Linked DNA regions of Drosophila melanogaster. The protein of the gene in region 4 interacts with the protein of the main gene of each other region in a pairwise test. Each region holds a gene or a part of one and is shown on either strand. Other genes may lie near its edges.

Evidence for each region.
Region 1: the proteins of CG1635 (region 4) and CG7810 interact in a two-hybrid assay, tested with the Drosophila melanogaster proteins (one large-scale study listed by BioGRID).
Region 2: the proteins of CG1635 (region 4) and CG12992 interact in a two-hybrid assay, tested with the Drosophila melanogaster proteins (one large-scale study listed by BioGRID).
Region 3: the proteins of CG1635 (region 4) and Pdhb interact in a two-hybrid assay, tested with the Drosophila melanogaster proteins (one large-scale study listed by BioGRID).

What each region holds. Positions count from the first base shown.
Region 1 is NT_033779.5:8,309,349-8,313,026, forward strand, and holds CG7810 (uncharacterized protein), read right to left. Parts: upstream 1,848-3,678; 5' UTR 1,776-1,847; coding exon 681-1,775; 3' UTR 528-680; downstream 1-527. Other genes in the region: Mettl14 (methyltransferase like 14), read left to right, coding at 1-517; CG7806 (uncharacterized protein), read left to right, coding at 2,221-2,584, 3,037-3,678.
Region 2 is NC_004354.4:17,586,920-17,592,246, forward strand, and holds CG12992 (uncharacterized protein), read left to right. Parts: upstream 1-1,945; 5' UTR 1,946-2,011; intron 2,012-2,068; 5' UTR 2,069-2,176; intron 2,177-3,038; exon of another isoform or gene 3,039-3,095; 5' UTR 3,096-3,282; coding exon 3,283-3,549; intron 3,550-3,597; coding exon 3,598-4,629; 3' UTR 4,630-4,787; downstream 4,788-5,327.
Region 3 is NT_033777.3:29,111,249-29,116,697, reverse strand, and holds Pdhb (pyruvate dehydrogenase E1 beta subunit), read right to left. Parts: upstream 3,628-5,449; 5' UTR 3,558-3,627; exon of another isoform or gene 3,490-3,557; 5' UTR 3,441-3,489; coding exon 3,249-3,440; intron 2,705-3,248; coding exon 2,543-2,704; intron 2,270-2,542; coding exon of another isoform or gene 1,802-2,269; exon of another isoform or gene 1,752-1,801; intron 1,605-1,751; coding exon 1,193-1,604; intron 1,132-1,192; coding exon 1,012-1,131; intron 951-1,011; coding exon 739-950; 3' UTR 501-738; downstream 1-500. Other genes in the region: Atg14 (Autophagy-related 14), read right to left, coding at 1-230; alpha-Man-Ib (alpha-Mannosidase class I b), read left to right, coding at 4,201-4,287, 4,385-4,657, 4,826-5,339, 5,423-5,449. UniProt on the Drosophila melanogaster protein: The pyruvate dehydrogenase complex catalyzes the overall conversion of pyruvate to acetyl-CoA and CO(2). Might play a role in regulating synapse structure formation at neuromuscular junctions. Might play a role in maintenance of mitochondrial morphology.
Region 4 is NT_033777.3:31,586,805-31,590,921, reverse strand, and holds CG1635 (uncharacterized protein), read right to left. Parts: upstream 2,250-4,117; 5' UTR 2,170-2,249; coding exon 2,063-2,169; intron 2,003-2,062; coding exon 1,932-2,002; exon of another isoform or gene 1,879-1,931; coding exon 1,636-1,878; exon of another isoform or gene 1,577-1,635; coding exon 651-1,576; 3' UTR 530-650; downstream 1-529. Other genes in the region: CG1638 (uncharacterized protein), read right to left, coding at 1-23, 77-129, 186-304; rod (rough deal), read right to left, coding at 2,815-2,925, 2,986-3,619, 3,679-4,117.

The DNA.
Region 1 (3,678 bases), on a different chromosome or scaffold from region 4:
GAAGTGGGGATTCCGGAGGTGCGAAGACATATGTTGGATACGGACCAACATTAACAAGCCCGGGCACTCCAAGCAACTTGAACCGAAAGCGGTCTTTCAACGCACCAAGGAACACTGCCTGATGGGAATCAAAGGAACTGTTCGCCGCTCCACTGATGGCGATTTTATCCATGCCAACGTGGACATTGATTTAATCATCTCAGAGGAAGAGGAGTTTGGCAGCTTCGAGAAGCCCATCGAGATCTTTCACATCATCGAACATTTCTGCTTGGGTCGACGGCGTTTGCATCTGTTCGGCAGAGATTCGAGTATTCGACCAGGTTGGCTAACTGTTGGTCCGGAACTGACGAACTCGAACTTCAACTCCGAGCTATACCAGACCTACTTTGCTGAGGCTCCAGCCACCGGTTGCACTAGTAGGATTGAACTACTGAGGCCCAAGAGTCCGCCGCCGAATAGCAAAGTTTTAAGAGGAAGAGGACGCGGCTTTCCACGTGGTCGTGGAAGGCCCAGATAACAGCATTTTTACTCAACAACTGCGTGTATTCTAGTGTCTAAGATCAAAAGTTTTTAAGGCTAAGAATAAGATTAACATTAAAGTCTATTGCTGCAGAATGCTGAGTATCCTATCGATTTCCAGGGTTTTCTTTGGATGCCGAGCGACCAGCAGCTTTCATTTATTATCCGTGACTATTCTGGAGACTGTGATGATTGCTTAGATGCCTCATGTAGATATCCAAGTCATCTTCGCTAGATATAGCATTCTCATCCGCAGCATGCTCCTCCAATTCCTCCTCGTCCTCGCTATCCTCAAAGTAGGCATCTTCTTCATCCTGCTCAATTTGCTTCAGATCATCCAGCAAAGTGTTATCATCTACGGCCTTATAATCAAAATCCTTGTCTTCGCCACTAAGAAAGCGTTCCTTCATCATACTCAAGAACTCATTGCGTAGTAGTTCTCGCTCTCCAGGATTATAGAACTCCGGTGTGGAGATCATAGTTGTATTCATTGGAGCTCGGACTTCCGCATTTCGACTCGTTGAACAGGCCACTGGTTCATCATCTTCAAATCCACCCCACTGCTTTCGGCAAGCGACAGGAACGTCACAGTCTGCCTGAGGATTGGATTCACTTGTGACCTGCACGCTCTGCTTTCCTTCCTGCTGCGTTTCCTCTAGTAATTCATCTCTTTGCTTTTTCTCCAACGTATGCATTAGTATTCCTGAGAAGCTAGTATTCCGAACATCGTAACTATCCCGAGCCTTCTTTTCCGCCTCCGTTAGGTACTGACCCACTAGCTCCTGGTAGAGATCCGGCGCCCTTTGCATCATCTCGTGTTCGCTAAAGTATTCTCCCTTGTCAAGGAGCTGCTGCATGGCATGGTATCTTCGGTTTTTAATGGATACCGCACGAGTGTTGAGTTTCCTCCTAAAATCCTCTAGCAGCAGGCACATCTCCTCCAGATTTTCATCTGCTTTAATGGGTTCCTTGACAGCCAGTTCCTGGAAGGAACCCAGTTGTCTTACATTCAGGAAGCCTCCAAATCGGATGAGAAAGTTCTCACGGTTCTTATCGAAGGCATCTCGTGCTATTTGTTGCTTCTCTTCGACCGGAATTTCCGGATCATCAATTTGCTGCGACTTAAAGACGATTTGATTGTTTTCGGCCAAGGATTTGAAGATGTCTATTATCTCCGGAGGATGTTCTGGATTTGGGACGATGTCATTGTTGCCCTGGTGGTCACCATCCCCGTCAGCATCGCTTCCAGTTGTCATAATTGTTTACACAAATTGCACAAAGTGTGAAATAGAAACGTAAACAAATGCTTCTTCTTTCTTAGCCAATGTCATTTACATAGAGTTGCCAGAGTAATTAAATTTTTCGATAAAAAATTAGCGATTGTGAAAATAAACCAAGTTCTCTGTCTGAAAAAAAAATTACGATCTTTGAAAATATGTATTATGCATAATACAATGAAAATATTTCCATTCAAAAAAAAAGACGAAAAGGAAACCGTTCAACGATTTTGATAGTTGGCAACCCTGCGGCTCCACATAGCGGCTGTATTTTCATTACGAACTTTATCTGAGGTCCAATTGTTGTGTTTATCGCTTTGTTTAACGCCACTCGGTGGTTCAGTGGTGCAAATATGCAGGCAGCGATGACTAACTGAGCAAGTTTAGCGGAAGACCAAAGAATCCATCAAAGATTTCGATCGAGATGTCATCTGTGGTGGACTGGGGCGACTTTGCCTGGAACTGGACGCAGTTCTGTCCGACGGGATTGAAACCGTTCGCCAACGAGACCAACGATCTGCTGCCTTGCTTTCAGGAGATCCTGCTCCAGCTGCCCGTATACACGCTCTTCGCCGCCATATCCGCCTACAATTTCGGCAATCAGTCACGACATGTCGTACGTAATGGATTGCAATTGCGTATGCTTTCGATTCGTACCTTCCTGGCCATGGTACTGGCCCTGCTACCGGTGGCCAAGGTGTTCGCCTTCCATCAGCAGGGCGTTGAACTGTTTGCGGCGGATCTGCTGGTTGTCAGTGCCGAATGCATTATGTGGGTGGTTCACAGCGGTGAGTGTGCGGTTTTCCTTTCTCCGGGGGTTTACATCTCGATTCAATATCTTAGGTGCATATGCGGGTTTCCCTTTTAGGGGCTGCGATTGTATATCCGACTTTCTTTTTATCAAATACAAATATGTAATTAGTCCTTATCAGTTTAATGCTTAACACATTTTAACTTGGCACATTTATTTGCTTTTTGAAATGAATTGCCATTTTATCCGCAAAACAAACGTAGTTCTTTCTTTTCATATATCTAGATTTATTCAGGCAATTACAACTTCCTTTGTTTCACTTCCTAACTTTACAAATATATGGCGTTTTATGTTGTCTGTTAAATAGAAGCATACATAAATTTCTGAGAAAAGCAGAGAAGTAGTATTCTGCAATAAAATGATAAGTCTACAAACAATAATTTATGACCCCTTTGCTAATCAGTTTTCCTATTCCTCCCCCACTCACAGGTTTCCTACTGACAGCCCGTCAATATGGAGAGCTTAGTCATCGGGGATCGCTGCTAATCAATGTCGTTTGGCTCACAGTAGTCGTTTTGGATGCAGTCTGGCTGCGGACAAGTCGACACTTTAGCTGGTGGCCCTGGAGCTTGGCCACGTTGGTCTGCGATCTTCTGTTTGGAGTCACCTTAATACCAAAAGGAAGTGCTGTTTACTCCAGTTTGCCCAGATCAGGAGTTTCTGCCAGAGAGGATGAGGGCCTGCTATCCCAGCGATATACATATTTTCAATTCGATCTGAATGAGAGCCATTTGGGTCATGCCCAGGACGAAGCCAATTTGGGATCGCGTTTCCTCTTCCACTGGGTTCAGCCCCTAATCTTGAAAGGAGTGGCTGGAAAGCTGAGAAAGATTGAGGATCTGTTCGATCTCCCCGATGCCCTGAACATCACACGACTGAGCGAGAAGTTGCACTTGGCTCTATCGCAATCGCAAAGTTTATGGAGAGCCCTGCATAGATGCTTTGGTGTGGAGTTTTACCTTATTGGTATCCTTCGATTGATCGCCGACTTGAGTGGCTTTGCTGGACCTCTACTGCTCGGAGGACTTCTCCGACAGGATCACGCAGATCCTAATCAAGTATACTATTATG
Region 2 (5,327 bases), on a different chromosome or scaffold from region 4:
CTTTTTTACGTGCCGTATACGTGATTTATTCGCGAATAGAACGCGGCGAGACACAGGCATTTGCATAATGGAGATGATTTGGTGAAGAAGAGGGTTTGGGGAGCCGCCAGAAACCACAATTATGCAATTTCCTGGCCGTCTCTAAGCACTTAATTATGGTTATTAAAAATTTGGCAAATAGTTTCTTCGCCTTTGTGCGCCCGATCATTTGCACATAGTTAGCTTGAAGCCAGACGCATGTGAAACATCGGAATTGGCCATATCATTATGGTTAAAATAAATTGTATATTTACATACATACATACATATATGCATGTTCGGATGTGGCGTGCCAGCTCTTAGCCAGATTTGCAAATCGGCAACGAGTTGAACGAACGATGGTAGCAATATTTTGACCATCATCATCATTCAAGAGATGACAAACTGCTAAATATTGAAGCAAAAACGTGGAAAAAATAAAAGAAGTGAAGAGAAAGGCAGCCATATGAACCACATTGAATGATTAACACTCTTTAATAGCATTAATGTCTTCATTTGTTTAATTTACTAATTGATTTCGCCAAACAAAACGCTGTATTTTAATGCTTATTGGCTAGTAACCAGAATAACTTGGCTTTGGCTTGGCCAGTAAGTAATAAAAGCCAACAAATGGTAAATAATAGATGGTGGTATCATATCGGACAGTGAATAAGGTCAGTTATAGTTTATTCAGTAGGGGTTTTAGTAAGCGATCAAACTAGTACCCAAAATGAATTAATAAAGGCAAGATAGCAAAGGAAAGAGGTTAGTATTTGCTGGTCAAACCGCCCGTTTTGAGGTCAAACCAAACCCCCTTGAGGGAGTTGGGGTAAATAGTTTTGCTTGCACTTAAACGAAATCAATGCGATTAAAATCGACTTGGCCCAGTCTTGCGGACGGCCAACTGAACTAGCCTTATCAACCATCGAGAATCGGTGTCAGCTAATCGAGCACCCACAACTACAACAACAAACCGCTGTCCCCAATAGTGGAGCACCACTTGGTCATTCCGACCACGTCGCATGGAAATGGAAAACGAGACGAAAACAGAAATGGAAACGGAAAACAAACCTAGAAGCCGAAACCAAAACAGAATAAGAAGCAGCGCCACTCCAAACATGGTCAACGAAATTTGTTTTGTGTTTTGTCACTTTCTCAGCCCAGAACCAAAGAAACACAAACGCGTCATATGGGTGCGCCCTTCAGAAAAATGTGCACAATAATGGGCAAAAGTGTACATGGCTTATAAAGTATTATTCTTACAAATACTGTGACTATAAATCGGATTTAATAACAACTAATCAATTCAATGGACAACTCAGCATTTGCATTATATTAAACCTCTAATGTGAACGCGCTTATGATATTCAAAGTTCAAAGTGTTATTTAGTCAAATAAGGTAATATGTCTGCTAGTAATTTGCCCCCTGCTGTAGTAACTATGTACGTCATTTGCAGGGGTTCTGAACCCAACCCATAGCAGTGGTTCACGTTACACTCGAGCACGTTCTTATCGCAATTAATTGCAGCGCATTGCATAAGCATCGCAAACTTATAGGGTGATACCAAAACGTAAACATAATCTCTGACTCAGCCCAGTGGGTAGCAATTATTAATTATAATTAATAAGCCAAAAGCCAAGGCAAGTCTTGCTTTGATTGGCCAAAAACGCAGCCAGAAGCGGAAAACAAAAACTGAGTCGAATTACACCACAGTTCAAGGGATACAAAAGGGAGTGGGCTGGGGGTCGATATCTGGCTAAGATCGGTGAGCTTACCCAGCCGGATCGGCACTGGAGCGCATCTGAGTGTGTCCACGTCAGCGGGCATCCAAAACAGAGCAGAAATCTTGAGATCCGAGTAATCTAGATATTGTCCTTCAAGTCAGTATTGTGCCACTCAACTGATCAACTTAAGTAGCTTGGAAATTTACATCAAATTATGACAAGTTGTTAGAAAAGTAGTATATACATATTCCTTGGCACGGGCCTTAAAGTAATATACATTTCTTTCTTATAAAATGTTTAATTTTATTACTTGATTTACTTGCAGTTGCATCTGAAGTGCAAGAAGGAAACAAATTAAATATTCACTAGGGCGGAATACTAAGGAAAACTCAAGCCACACACTGAGGAAATCAAAGTAGGAACAACTAAAACTGTAAGTAGTAACGCAAGGAAAATAAGGGAAATTGGGAAAAGGGAAAACAAGCAACATCAACATCTGCAAATCATATGCAGAGCGTCACTCGCATATGGATATGAGATTTCAGATTTTCGTGACCATATCCGGTTGCCAGTCAGCAGTTGCAACTGCAATTGCAGCTTCCATCAAAACAATAGCAAAAACCAAAAGACGAAATGCGGAGCGAACTGAAAACGCAACTTGGGTCTTTTGGGGCCCAGGGAAATCGCATCTTGGCATTCGCCATTGTTGCTATGGGGATTTTTTTCTTTTTTGGCGGGGGGTGTACAATAAATATAGGGTGGAAGTTGCGTAAAACGATGATATGATATTCACACATAGATCGGGCGATAACATCAATAACTAAAGATGATGTGGAAATCAGAAGGTTCAAATGATGTGCCTATAAGGTTACATACATAAATAAATAGATAAATACATACTCTTACATACATACAAAGGTTGTTTTCTAGTCTAGCAAATGATGTTTTAAATAAGAGAAATGTATTTGTAAGAGTACATAACTTGTATCATAAATTAATAATATTATTAAGACTCAACAATGGTTTGGTCTAAAATAATCCACCATTTGATTCAGTGTTTTGAATCCAAATTAAGTTAAGTTTGTTTTTGTTTTGATTTATATCCAGTGTTGAATAAGCTTTTCATGTACTGTGTGTGTGTGTGTGTGTGTGCATATGTTTATGTTCATCTTATCTTGTTTATCTAGCATTGTATAATTAGGTTTAGATTTTGTTAGAATAAGTTTAGATACATCCAGTGCTGTATAATGTTCCAATAACTACATATTTATCTAGTATTGCATAATTCATTTTAGTGTTTAAATAAGTTTAGATAAATCCAGTATTGTTTAATTTGCTGATGAACTTAGCAGTGATTGGCCGAAAGTGGGAAACCTAACCTCATGTTCTAGAAAAAGAATCGCCAACAAATTTCAAGTAAGCAGTGCCTTCTGTCAACTCGAATGTCATTTGGAATTGCCTGAGCTCTATTCAGTTTCGTATACCTCCGGATTACACGTACTAACGTTTGAAAAAAAAAAAACTAAAATTCCAATCAAAATGCCACACAAAAAATTTCCCAGAATGTCACAGGCGCAACTCAAACGTTTGATCAAATCACAAAATCAGAACATAGCAAAGGCCGCGTGTATTTTGGAACCCCCAAAAATTATACAGCAGCCGTCGATGAGGCAGTCCATCATTCCACCGAATCCTGCTTATAGCAAGAAACAGGGCAAAAATGCGGCTCGCCCAAATTCCGAGCGAGCTGGAAAGGTGCCAATGCAGGGGCTGAACCACGTGGTGCCGGAGGACACTGTGAAACAGGTGAAGCAATAAGTATAGTGCAAAAAGCGGGCTTATCGCATAAAATAGTACTTTCAGCATAATCAATCTAAGCAGATGCAACGCAATCGAAGGAATCCATCGTCGAAGATGCAACAAAATGGCAATGAAGCATCCAAGCAGGAGAAGCCCAATCAGCACGAGGACAAGAGCCGTCCCAAGCAGTTGTATTCAAGCGTTGTGGCCAATAAGCAAGACGGGCCCACCGCAGTGAATGCTCCTCCACCCAAGGAGGGCTCATCTGTCAATCAAATTGGATCGTGTTGTCATCATGGCAATGTTTCGGGCGAAAAGCAGAAATGTCCGGATACCAGCTCATCATCCGCCACGTTCACTTGGCCCAGTCAATCGGTTAAAAGCCAGGGGTTTTTCGGAACTAGCGATTCTTCAGCTGACCCATTCAGCATGCAGAATCTGAAGAAGATTGCCCGGGATTTCTTCTCATATCCGGAGTTTCATCCACCGGAGGCCAGCGAAAACATTGCCGCTGCCAATGGCTCCAAGAAAGCTGAGCCCTCGAGGACGAAATCCCAGCCGGGTCTCAACTCTTCGCCGAGAGGCTCTGCCTTGGGTGCCGATAGGTCGGGCCATCCTCAATCGATTGCGGGTGGAACGAATTCTCGCCGGAAGGATTATCCATTGGAGGAGGCCTTCATGACCGTAATCCGCAATCTGCGCGAAAATTATCCGGGCAATGATTCGATTTCATCTTCAAATCGCCCGAATATCCAATTTGATAACTACCAATCGGCGCAAGGTTTCGGCTATGGTTCCAATTCCTATTACAACGCTCAATCGACATCCGCTTACGGCTATCCTCCGACTGGTTTTCCGATGTCCCAGCAGTCAGGCTTCATGCCAAAGTATAACCAAATGCCGACGGCTAATGGTTCAAATTTAAATCAACCGCCATTGATTAGCGAAACTTATCAGGCCGAAGCGCAGCAGCATCCTTGCTGGCCGGTATATATTCCGGAATATGTTTCGCATTTTATGTTCGGTGAGCCACAGGACGCCAATGCCAGCTGCTCTCGTAATTCAAACCACGGCAACAAGATGTAAAATAGAATCCGGAGGGAAATCGGAATAGTGTAGCATTTAAAAATCTATTCATCATTCAACACCATTCGAAAAAAATTGCTAATGTAATACACAGACCAATTCCGTAATCCTAATCATTTATTTTGCATCTATGTATTAATAAACATTTGTAATGTTACAAATATTTTCCATATATTTGTAAGCCAATTACACTTAACCATCTTTTGTAATGATGCAATCCGAAGATAAACAAAAAATGTATGCATCTCAACTACCTCAATTAGAATTTAAGTAAAATGTGTAATGATGATGATGTATAAAGAAATGCCATCAAATTTCACTTTCAACTCGGCGGAAGAAAGTGAAAAACATGCGAAAAAAGAAATTAATGAAAAAATCGAGCAGCTTACCAACAATTGAAATAAAGGAAAAAATCAACTAGTCAGCGTCGATTGTTTGGTGGTCAGTTGTTTGGTTTTCTACTATTACCAAACCAATGCCAACAAAAGAAATTTTTTTCTTTTTTCTTTTTTGGCCAAGTAAAATAAGAAATCAAATAAGATGAATCTTGCCTTATAAAATGTGAAATTTTCCTGCCATTATGATTAGAATTTGGGCTTAAGCTCATTATCTAATCAAAGATATTGATAACACCTGCGAAAAAGCAATTGAAGAAACTTACGATTGATTGATATACTTAATGTGATCGAATTTATTTA
Region 3 (5,449 bases), 2.5 Mb from region 4:
CTGCAGCTGTGGCACAGTGGGCACCGCATGTGGGCACCCATTCCCGTGGTGGCGTTCCTATCCTTGGCGTTCGCATCCTTCAACAGTTCCTTCGTCGCTGCCGTTGGCCTGCGCTTTGTTGTGTATCCTGCGACATCTGATTCCTCGTCCTCGCCGTTTGTGGAGGCGCTCGAGATGCGAAAGTTGTCGGGGGCCTTGCAGCTTTCGTCGGAGCTGGAGCTGTTTGCCATTACAGCCAAAGCATTGCAATTATTTGTTATGTTATATCTTTTGTTATTGTTAACTTTGCTATTATCGCTATCGATATGAGGACACCTATTGCTAAACGATAGGCTGATATCGAAAAAATAGATGTCGTCAGTGTTGGACAGCGTTCAATAGGAAAACGTTTTCATCGGTGCGCGCACTTTTTAAACTTCAATCATTAACGATAAGAATTATATATTTTTTATCTTCTGATATTATATCATTAACTATACCAAAATATAAGCACTCAAAATGTATTTATGTTTTCGTTTATTTTTCACAAGAGATTTCTATAACCAAATAATTAAACTAGAACGTCCGAAAACTAATCAAAACCCGAAAGCGGTAGTGCTTTATTTTCAGAACATTCAATTTCCAGTTCGGTGCACTATTATGGGGGCAGCTCGGTTAGACCAGAGGCAGCGTTTCGACTTGGACTATAAATTTAGTTAGCTGGGGGTTCCGATCGGGAGGCTGGCTAGTCCTGAGTTCCTACTTGTTGGCCGCAGCGGCCTTGCCCACTTTGCCACCCAAGACCTTAAGAGTCGCCTCCACGAGATCCTGAACGCGGGGCAGGGCGTGGGCCTCCAGCGTCTTGGCATAGGGCATGGGCACATCCACGCCGGCGCAGCGCCATACGGGGGCGTCCAGCTCGAAGAAGGTCTGGTCCTCCATTATGCGGGCGCAGATCTCAGCTCCAACGCCTAAGAGGGTAAAAATTTATAAATATCGCTAGGCTTTCAATTAGCTGAATTTCCCACTCACCGTGTTGGGGCCAGCCGTTCTCCACGGTCACCAGATGGTGGGTCTTTCGTACAGAGGCGAAGATGGTCGCCGTGTCCAGAGGACGAATGGAGCGCAGGTTAATGACCTCAGCCTCAATACCTAAACATATAAGAGAAGGTTAGCTACTTTTCGCGTCATTCAAAGTAAAACAGTGCCGTACCCTTCTTGGCCAGCTCGGCAGCTGCCAGAAGCGATGTCTCCACCGCCTTGGAATGCGCCACCAGGGTAATGTCCTTGCCCGGCCGCATTACCTTGGCCTTGCCGATGGGCACCAAGAAGTCCTTGTCGGCCACGTTATCGGCCACAGGGAATGCCGTGCCATAGACCAGCTCATTCTCCAGGAAGACCACTGGATCGGGATCACGGATTGCGGACTTCAACAGTCCGCGGGCATCCTCGGCATCGTATGGCGAAAGGACCTTCAGGCCGGGGCAGTGGGCGTACCAGGCGGCGAAGCACTGAGAGTGCTGGGCGGCAACACCGGAAGCGGCTCCATTGGGACCACGGAACACAATGGGCACATTGACGGCACCGGCAGACATGTAGAAGGTCTTGGCCGCCGAGTTGATGATCTAAGATTTGAAATTTTAAAGGGATATATTTTAGCAATCCATATTATTATGAATGTGTAATATGACTTAGAAATAATAAAGTGAAAAATGAATGAAAATAATGCTCAGTGTGGATGCCTGTTCCATCAAACTGCAAATTCGCCAATTCAAGTTAATACGCTTTATTTGATGCACTCCTTTCTGTTCCGTCTTGATCTTTACTTAATGCCTAGTTTCTGCTTAATGATAAATGCCGGCAGGCGGCGTCCCTTCCAGAAACGCGGCAGCGGCGTCTCGTTGGCCTGCCGCAGGATCTCCGCCACGTGCTGCTCCGCACTGAATGCCTCCGCCTGCTTGATCTGGGATATCAGCTTTGCTTGGAAGGCCTTCTCTTTGCGCATCTCGCGGCGCTGGCGCACCTTGGCCCACTCGAACTTCATCTTGCGACGCAGCTTCTTTAGCTTGTGCTTCTTCATCTTGCGCCGCCGAATGACGATGAGGCGGGCCGCCTCCATCTTGTCCGACTTGCTCTTGTCCAGCGGCGGCGCAATCACCTCGCCGACTCGATCTCTGTGCAGGATGTCGTTGATCTCATTCAGCCAAGTTGAGCGTGGACTTTCAATTATGAGGCTTATTGGCAGAGGGCGATCACCGACTGGCGGCTTGGCGCAATCGAGTATCTTTGCCTGCACATAATCGGATAATATGGGTGGGGATTAGTGAGGTCCGATCTATGACTTGGGGCAGGAGCTAATCCACCCATATTATCCCATTAAGCGCCGCTGCATATTGCACTTGAATTGGTCTATTTGCTAGCTGTTGGAGTTGTGAGGCATTTGTATTGGATTGTCGTGTTCTTTCTTTTGGTTTACGTTTTGTTGGCAATGAGATAATATGAGTAGTTAGCCTACTGCTGGAGTGCGGGGAGTGGTTCTTAGGACAAGGATGAGGCAACTCACGTGATCGATGGCCTGCATGGAGAAGTTCCAGGTCATGAACTCGCACACGGGACGCAGACCGGCCATGGCAGCGCCAACAGCGATGCCGGCAAAGCCCATCTCTGTGATTGGCGTGTCGATGACGCGCTTGTCGCCGTACTTCTTCCACAGTCCACGGGAAACCTAAAAAGGGCATTAAATGATTAATAGAATGTTAGGATACCAGAAAAATATGTAGGGCTTATTCAGGATGGGAACCTTTTATCTGTTTGTAAAACTTTCCAAGCTGATAACTCATTAACTAAGATTTCTTCAGGAAATACCATTATTCTAACAGGTAATTGTATTGTACTTTGCGTGTCCTATCTAGTTGTTACACCAGTAGCCACAATCATAGTTTAAATGAATCTAATAGGATAGAATTGCTAACGCCGGTTATCAATCCACCTCAAATGGGTAAACAAATCGTTGTTTTATGGGCCAATCTATATAATCAGCAGACAGTCGGTCACACATATTCTGCGTGACCTTGCCCACTCCGATCACGCATTCGGATTCGCGTCGACCTGTTCGGAATCACTATCAGTAGTTACATATAGCACGCATATATCACCCCGCTGACCACCAACTTCCCCCATCCCGGCCACCTGCATCAGCTGTCGTCGTCGCAACCGCCTGCTTGCTGTTTACGTAATCGCGCAGGGGCAGGAAAAGTCGCAGATCTCACCTTGTAAGCACCGTCGTACTGGGCCACCTCCTCGCCCAGGATGAAGACGCGGTCGTCGCGGGCCAGCTCATCGTCCAATGCGCTGTTGAGGGCATCTCGCACGGTCATCTGCTTGGCCGCCAGGGCCTTCTGGCTGGTGGAGAACGCTCGCTGGGCGGAGCTGGCCGCCTGGATGAGTCGGGTTCGGAGCATCGTCGGTTTGCGGTTCGCTTTCCTATGGGTCTATCGCTATCGTTGCCGGCTGTAGGTGTTATTTTTTGGGTTTTAAGTGCTATTATCTAACTAAAAATGGGCTATGGGTTTACGCACCGACTTCCGTCGAAATTTTGATGTGAAAATGGGATGTGACCAGATGTGACCACTTTAATGCCGTATTGTGGGCACACTTGGAGCTTACCAGGGCTGCCAAATAAATCACTGTTAAGTGGGACTAGTGTTGGCCACTCTAGATTTGGCTAAATTCATACTGTGTTAGCTGGATTTTCGAAAAAATTAGCCACTTCGTATTAATATATATTCTTTAGAAAAATTCTTTTATAAAGTAGTGATAATATCTAAAATATAATTTAATTTGCTTTTTTTTTATTTAAGAGGTATTTCAAAAGTAAATGATTGCTAGCCCCATCTTTAGTTTTGGCCGGACTGTTGAAGAACAAGTTGGCAGCATTGCAGCTCAAAAATGCAGCTCTCGTGAAATAATTTTAGAATTTCTTATTTGTAATTTTGCATAGTGTGGGCCAGAACTAGCATATATAAATTAATGCACTGGCACGTATAGAGATGATTAAGGCATAAAAGAGGTAGTAGTTGGACCAACCTTGGTTAGTTAGCTCCGATTCCTCCGCGGCCAGCGGCGCACAGCAATCGATTTTTATTCGAGGCGAATGCTGTGGAATTTCCCATCCAACTTTCCCACACTCTGAATTCCGGCGGCGGCATTTAGTGAAACACTATGAAGGACGGCGGTCACATAACGCTCACACTCCCGCCGGGATCAGCGGCGACGACGGACGAGCGGGGCAGGAAGAGCCTGCGTCGGGTAGGTAGCAACCTGGCAGAAGTCCAGTTGCTGGGGTCCTGGGACATCCTCAAGAAACCCAGAACTTATAAGTACGATCTTTTGTCTCACGGTTCAGGCTTGGAATCAGCTACCGCGTTGTCAGCGCAATCTCATTATTCTGGGCATCACCGGATTCTGCGTGACAGTGTTGCTCTGCCTAAGTGGCGATCAGCTGCTGGCTGCCAGCTTAAAGGATGTGGACACCAAGGCCGAGGTGGCAGCATATCAAATGCCCCTGCCCAATCCGCACCATCATCCGGGGGTGGATAAGGATGTGCCCAAAGACACTGCTGCGGTACCTGTTCCGGCCGATAAGAGAGCACCCCGGGTGGAGGCGGTTAGTGATAAGGTAAGTAGGCCCCCCACTTAATTGATAAGTGCCTAAGTGGCTGGAGTTGTTTGCCTATTAAGATAGCATGCGTATCAATACGATTGACTATTGGTGTTTGATTTATTGCCCACGCAGCACACTTCCAGTAAAATCTATTAATGATATCTCAATATCAATCAATTTCAGTTTAATGAGCTAGTTGCCTATGGAGAAGCGAACTCAGCGGAGAACGTGGCCCGTCTGCCGGAGACGGTGGCTGCTGAAGGACTTCCCCAGGCCTCGGCCATGGCCGTGGCCTTGCCTCCCCCCGATAGTAACAAGGAGCAGGACATCGGTGGAATCGACATCCTAAACAATGTAGAGGAGCCCGTCGCCCAGGATCCAGCAGAGCCGCTTAGCGAGGGCGAGCAGCTTGAGCAAGCCATCAAGAACCCACTCACTCTGGGCGGCGTTAGCTTCAAAGAGCATCTCAAAAAGATCAAGCCCATTCTGGCCAAGGGCCAGCACTTCCATGGCGCCACCAACGAAAGACAGTCGGCTGTTGTAGCCGCCTTCAAGCACTCCTGGGCTGGCTACAAGAAGTATGCCTGGGGCCACGACAACCTGAAGCCCATCTCCCAGTACTCCCACGAGTGGTTCGGTCTGGGACTAACCATTGTTGACTCATTGGATACCATGTACATAATGGGACTGGATGATGGTAAGTTGCCTATATCCTAATGTGCACAAAATCATTAGTTTATGGAAATACTTTCCTTATTTTTCTCAATAACATCTACACAGAATTCAAGGAAGGACGCGACTGGGTAG
Region 4 (4,117 bases):
GCTTTTCAGCATCTTCTTCTTGACTAAAAGGGATATCTGGACAAGTAGCACCTATTTCTGGAATGGAAGTACTTACTCTCCGTCATAGTGGCGTATTGACCGTCCGCAGAGGAGTTACGCCCATTAGAGCTAGAAGAAATGTGGCCTATAAAATCTGATTTCTGCTAGTTGTGTTGGTGCTTCACCTGGAATTTTTATGTGTCATCTTCCTGAGGGTCCTGGCCTTTAACAAGCTCCGGCAGCTGCGGGCTCCGAGCAAAAAAGGTACAACACATAATTTAACATTTCTAAGACCAGGCCCCATGGAAACGGATCGGGATCGAGATCTGAACTCAGATCCGACACGAAATTAAAACTATAAATTTTGCTTCAGCTCTGCTTTTTTGATTACAGGTAATGGGTATCCAAAAAATGTAAAGTCGGCAAAAATTAGGGATTATTTTGACAGTTATTATATTAATAAACATTTAATCTAGTACTCTTCGATAGGGTTTAATAGAAGATTTTAAAAGTTTTAAGCTGGTTGGTTAAGCACATCATTAAACAACAGACATTTATTGCTTTTTGTAAACACTGAACTGGTAATTGCATTTATCTGGTAGGATAGCCTTGCATAATATCTTGAGTAACAATCACAGGCTGAACCATGTCTACACTGGGCCCATGCTGGCCTCGAACTTTCGACGACCTTGGATGTACCACATGGTTTCGTGGTAGGAGCGGGGCAGCACCTCGGTAACCGTGTCCGGAGACGAGAAGGTGTAGTAGAACGTGTTGGTGGTCACCTGGCTGCCCGTTTGTGGGTCCATCACATCTGCAACGGTCATGATCTGCACGTAGTTCTCCTTGGTGTACACCACATAGGCGGTCATCTTGATGAAGCTGTTCACGCTGACGGGCTTCTCGAAGCTGATGTCGGATATGTGCTCCAGCTTGGGTCGCGTTTTGCAGTAGAGGTAGGCTGCTGCCCAGCTTATCTCCAGGGCACTTCGCATGAGGAAGCCTCCGAAGACCCGGTTGTGGTGGTTCCTGTGCTCCGGAAATGAGGGAATAGTGCTCATCTGGAAAGAGTCCTCCATCCAGCGACAGTTTGGTGGCAGGATGCGCTTGTTGAGTTCCAAAGTGTTGGTGGGAGTTGTCCTTTTGTACAGCTCGTACATAATTGTCTGCTCCGGGTCATTGGGTTCCACCTTAAAGATGGACTGAGCACAGAGAATCTGACGTTTCTTCTTTCTATCTGCGCCGCCAGCCAGAATCACTTTCTCTTCCTCGTTGGCCGGCTGTAAGGGGTTCACAGGAGCCGCTCCGGTATTGTTAGCGTTTCTTGCTGCCATCAGGAACAAGGCACGGGTTAACTTTTGGTACCTCCCGCCAACCATCTGTTCCAGCCACACTACCACCTCAATTGAACTGGTTCCCACCCAGGAAACGTGCCCAGACAAACGGATATCTTGGGTGCCTGAAGCCAAGACATTGGTGAAATCGATGCGGTCCACCAGAATGGTCACAAAGGTGTACGGCAGATGAACTCCCTCCGGCAGATTGGGCAGAACCAGGTGTTTATGACAGCACCAAGCTGGAAATAGCGGATAGTGAGAAAGTGCGCCAAGATTCCAGCAAATGTGTTCCTCATACCAGCAAACAAGTCCATGTCCTCCAGAAGTCGCCCGAATCGCACATTGCCCAGATAGGTCACATATTTGTCCTGCAAACTGCGGTCCGTGCTCAGAGGAATGATGGCCGAGGTGAAGGAATCCTGCATAGCTCTTGGAGGCAGATCCTCCAGCTTCGGCTGGTACTTGAGCAGCTGCTCCCTGGATTTGGGCAGCGGGTTGTAACCGGGCTCCAGCCCCAATCGCTTCATCATCCCCTGCTTGACTGCAGACGTTCGGGGATTACGATGGGTTTGACTCTGGCAAGACAACACTTACCCTCCGCCATGGTTCCGGATTCATTGGCGACCGCTGATTGCTTGATATGCGTGGGCGGTGAGTAGTGACGCCTGTTAGAGATGAAAGTACTCATTTACCATGTAAGCTCATCATTTATTTTTTGCTCTTACTTGAACAATGCGAAGGATGCTGGCACCTGTTTGGTGGGTAATTCCATAAAGTTCCTGGTGCGGATCAGGCCCCAGCACTTTTGTGCTCCTATCAAAGAACGCATCATCTCGGTTTAACTTAGTTTCGCAGCTTTCTCCTTGCTTTTCAAGTTACATACAAAGTGTAACCTGTCTTTGATCTAACCCCAAATAGAAAACAGCTGGCGGCCACAGCTGACTGGTACAGTGGGCTCGAGAAAATTCGTCTCCAACTAATTTCGAAAAGTTCGATTCTTTAGTATATTAATTTTTTCCCATTTACTTTAATTAAATTGATTTGAGACTGACTGTTCTTTACACAACAAAGTCTTCATTTAAAAAAAATCCTAATATATCTCATTATTTTCAGTATTCCATCAACTTGAGCCCACTGTTTACAGAAGTGATACATACGTATGACGTCATCCCGATTGTTGTTAATTTTAAACTGGGAAGCGAAGTTCCCTAGACAATTTCTCAAATTAACACATTGTTTTGTGATGCATAAATTATGAAATTAAGAGATTGTACTGTTTGAATATTGACTAATTGCTACTGTATATAAAATAACATATTAAAATTAAAATAGAAAATAGTCATCGTTTGTATAAACTATATTTGCAGGTATAAAACCTTGATATTTACAAAAGTATCTTGACCCGAACGCACTTAACGCAGATATTCGACCAATAAAACAAAAAATTATGGGAATAGTAAAATCCAAATCTCTACGCTTACAGATTTAGTTCCTTGAGCGCAAAGTTCAGCACCACCGGCAAAATACCAGCATCTTCCAGATCCAAGATCTGTTGCCGAAGGTTCTCCACCGGATGGGAATGTATCATCTGCAAGAAGAGTTAGAGTGACAATAGAGCATTTCGTTAAAGTGCGCGGTTCGAGCATACCTTTTTGATCTTTTGGCGTTGCTCGCTGCTCTGGCAGAAGCTGAGTAGAGAGGCGGCCATGTGCGGTCGATGGACGACGATGCAGAGCTGGGCGAACTGTAGCAGGTTGAGGGCGTGCACCACCGGACAGCCCTGCAGGCGCAGCAGCGTCTTGTGGAGCACCTCTTCCTGCTTAAAGGATCGTAGCTCGACTGCGTTCTGCAGAGGATGGCAGAGCACATAGTCCCAGGCCTGGGCCAGTCCATCCAGGTGAAGTAGATGCGGCCGGCAGCTGAGTACATCCAACAAGGCGTTCAGCTCGCGCACCATATGGAACATGACCATGCGCTTCAGAATGCCGTTCCAGATCTGCGGCAAGTGTATATCAAAGCCCAGGCAAATGTTGGCCATGACTTCCAGCGAAAGGGGATTCTGCGCATTACGCTGCCAGATCATCTTCAGAATGTCAATCTTGTTGCAATGGTCGTCGGAGAACTTCTCCAGGTTCGACTTGTAGCCCAGAGCCTTGAGCTCGTGCACACACTTGATGCTGATGAACTGGCGTTGGCTAATCGTGTTGGTAAAGGAGTTGCTGCCATCGTTTAGCTTGGAATAGCACTCGTACATTTGCAGCTGTGTGGAGGTGTTTACCGAACTGGTGGAAGGGTTTATTCAATGAATTATTTTCGCTAACTTTTAAGTACCAATCCTTACCCGCCCTTGAAGATCAGACCCACAAGGAACTTGACTGCCTCCGCCTTTGGCCAACTGGAAAGTATGTAAAACGCTCTATTTACGTTCTCGCTGGCGTCCTGGCTGTTGGAGGACTCTGCGCCGTTGGCCTGCTCCGGCCAGTTCTGCTCCTCCATGAAGGTCTCCTCCAAAATGGTACCATCACCCGCAGACTCCATAGTCAGAGCGAGCCACTTCTGTAGCAGGCGGTACTGGATGGTGGCTAAGCAGAGGTCGTGCAGCTTGGCTATCTCTGCGACCAGAGCGTTAATATCCACTTTGCTGGACTTGAGGATCAGCTCATGGTGGTAGAGCGCCTGAATAAGCTCGGTGGGGTTCTCAACTTGGCGCAGTAGCTTCTCATCGGTCAGGCCATAGACATACAGCAGGTGCTGGGTCTTCTGAATAGGATACCGTCGCT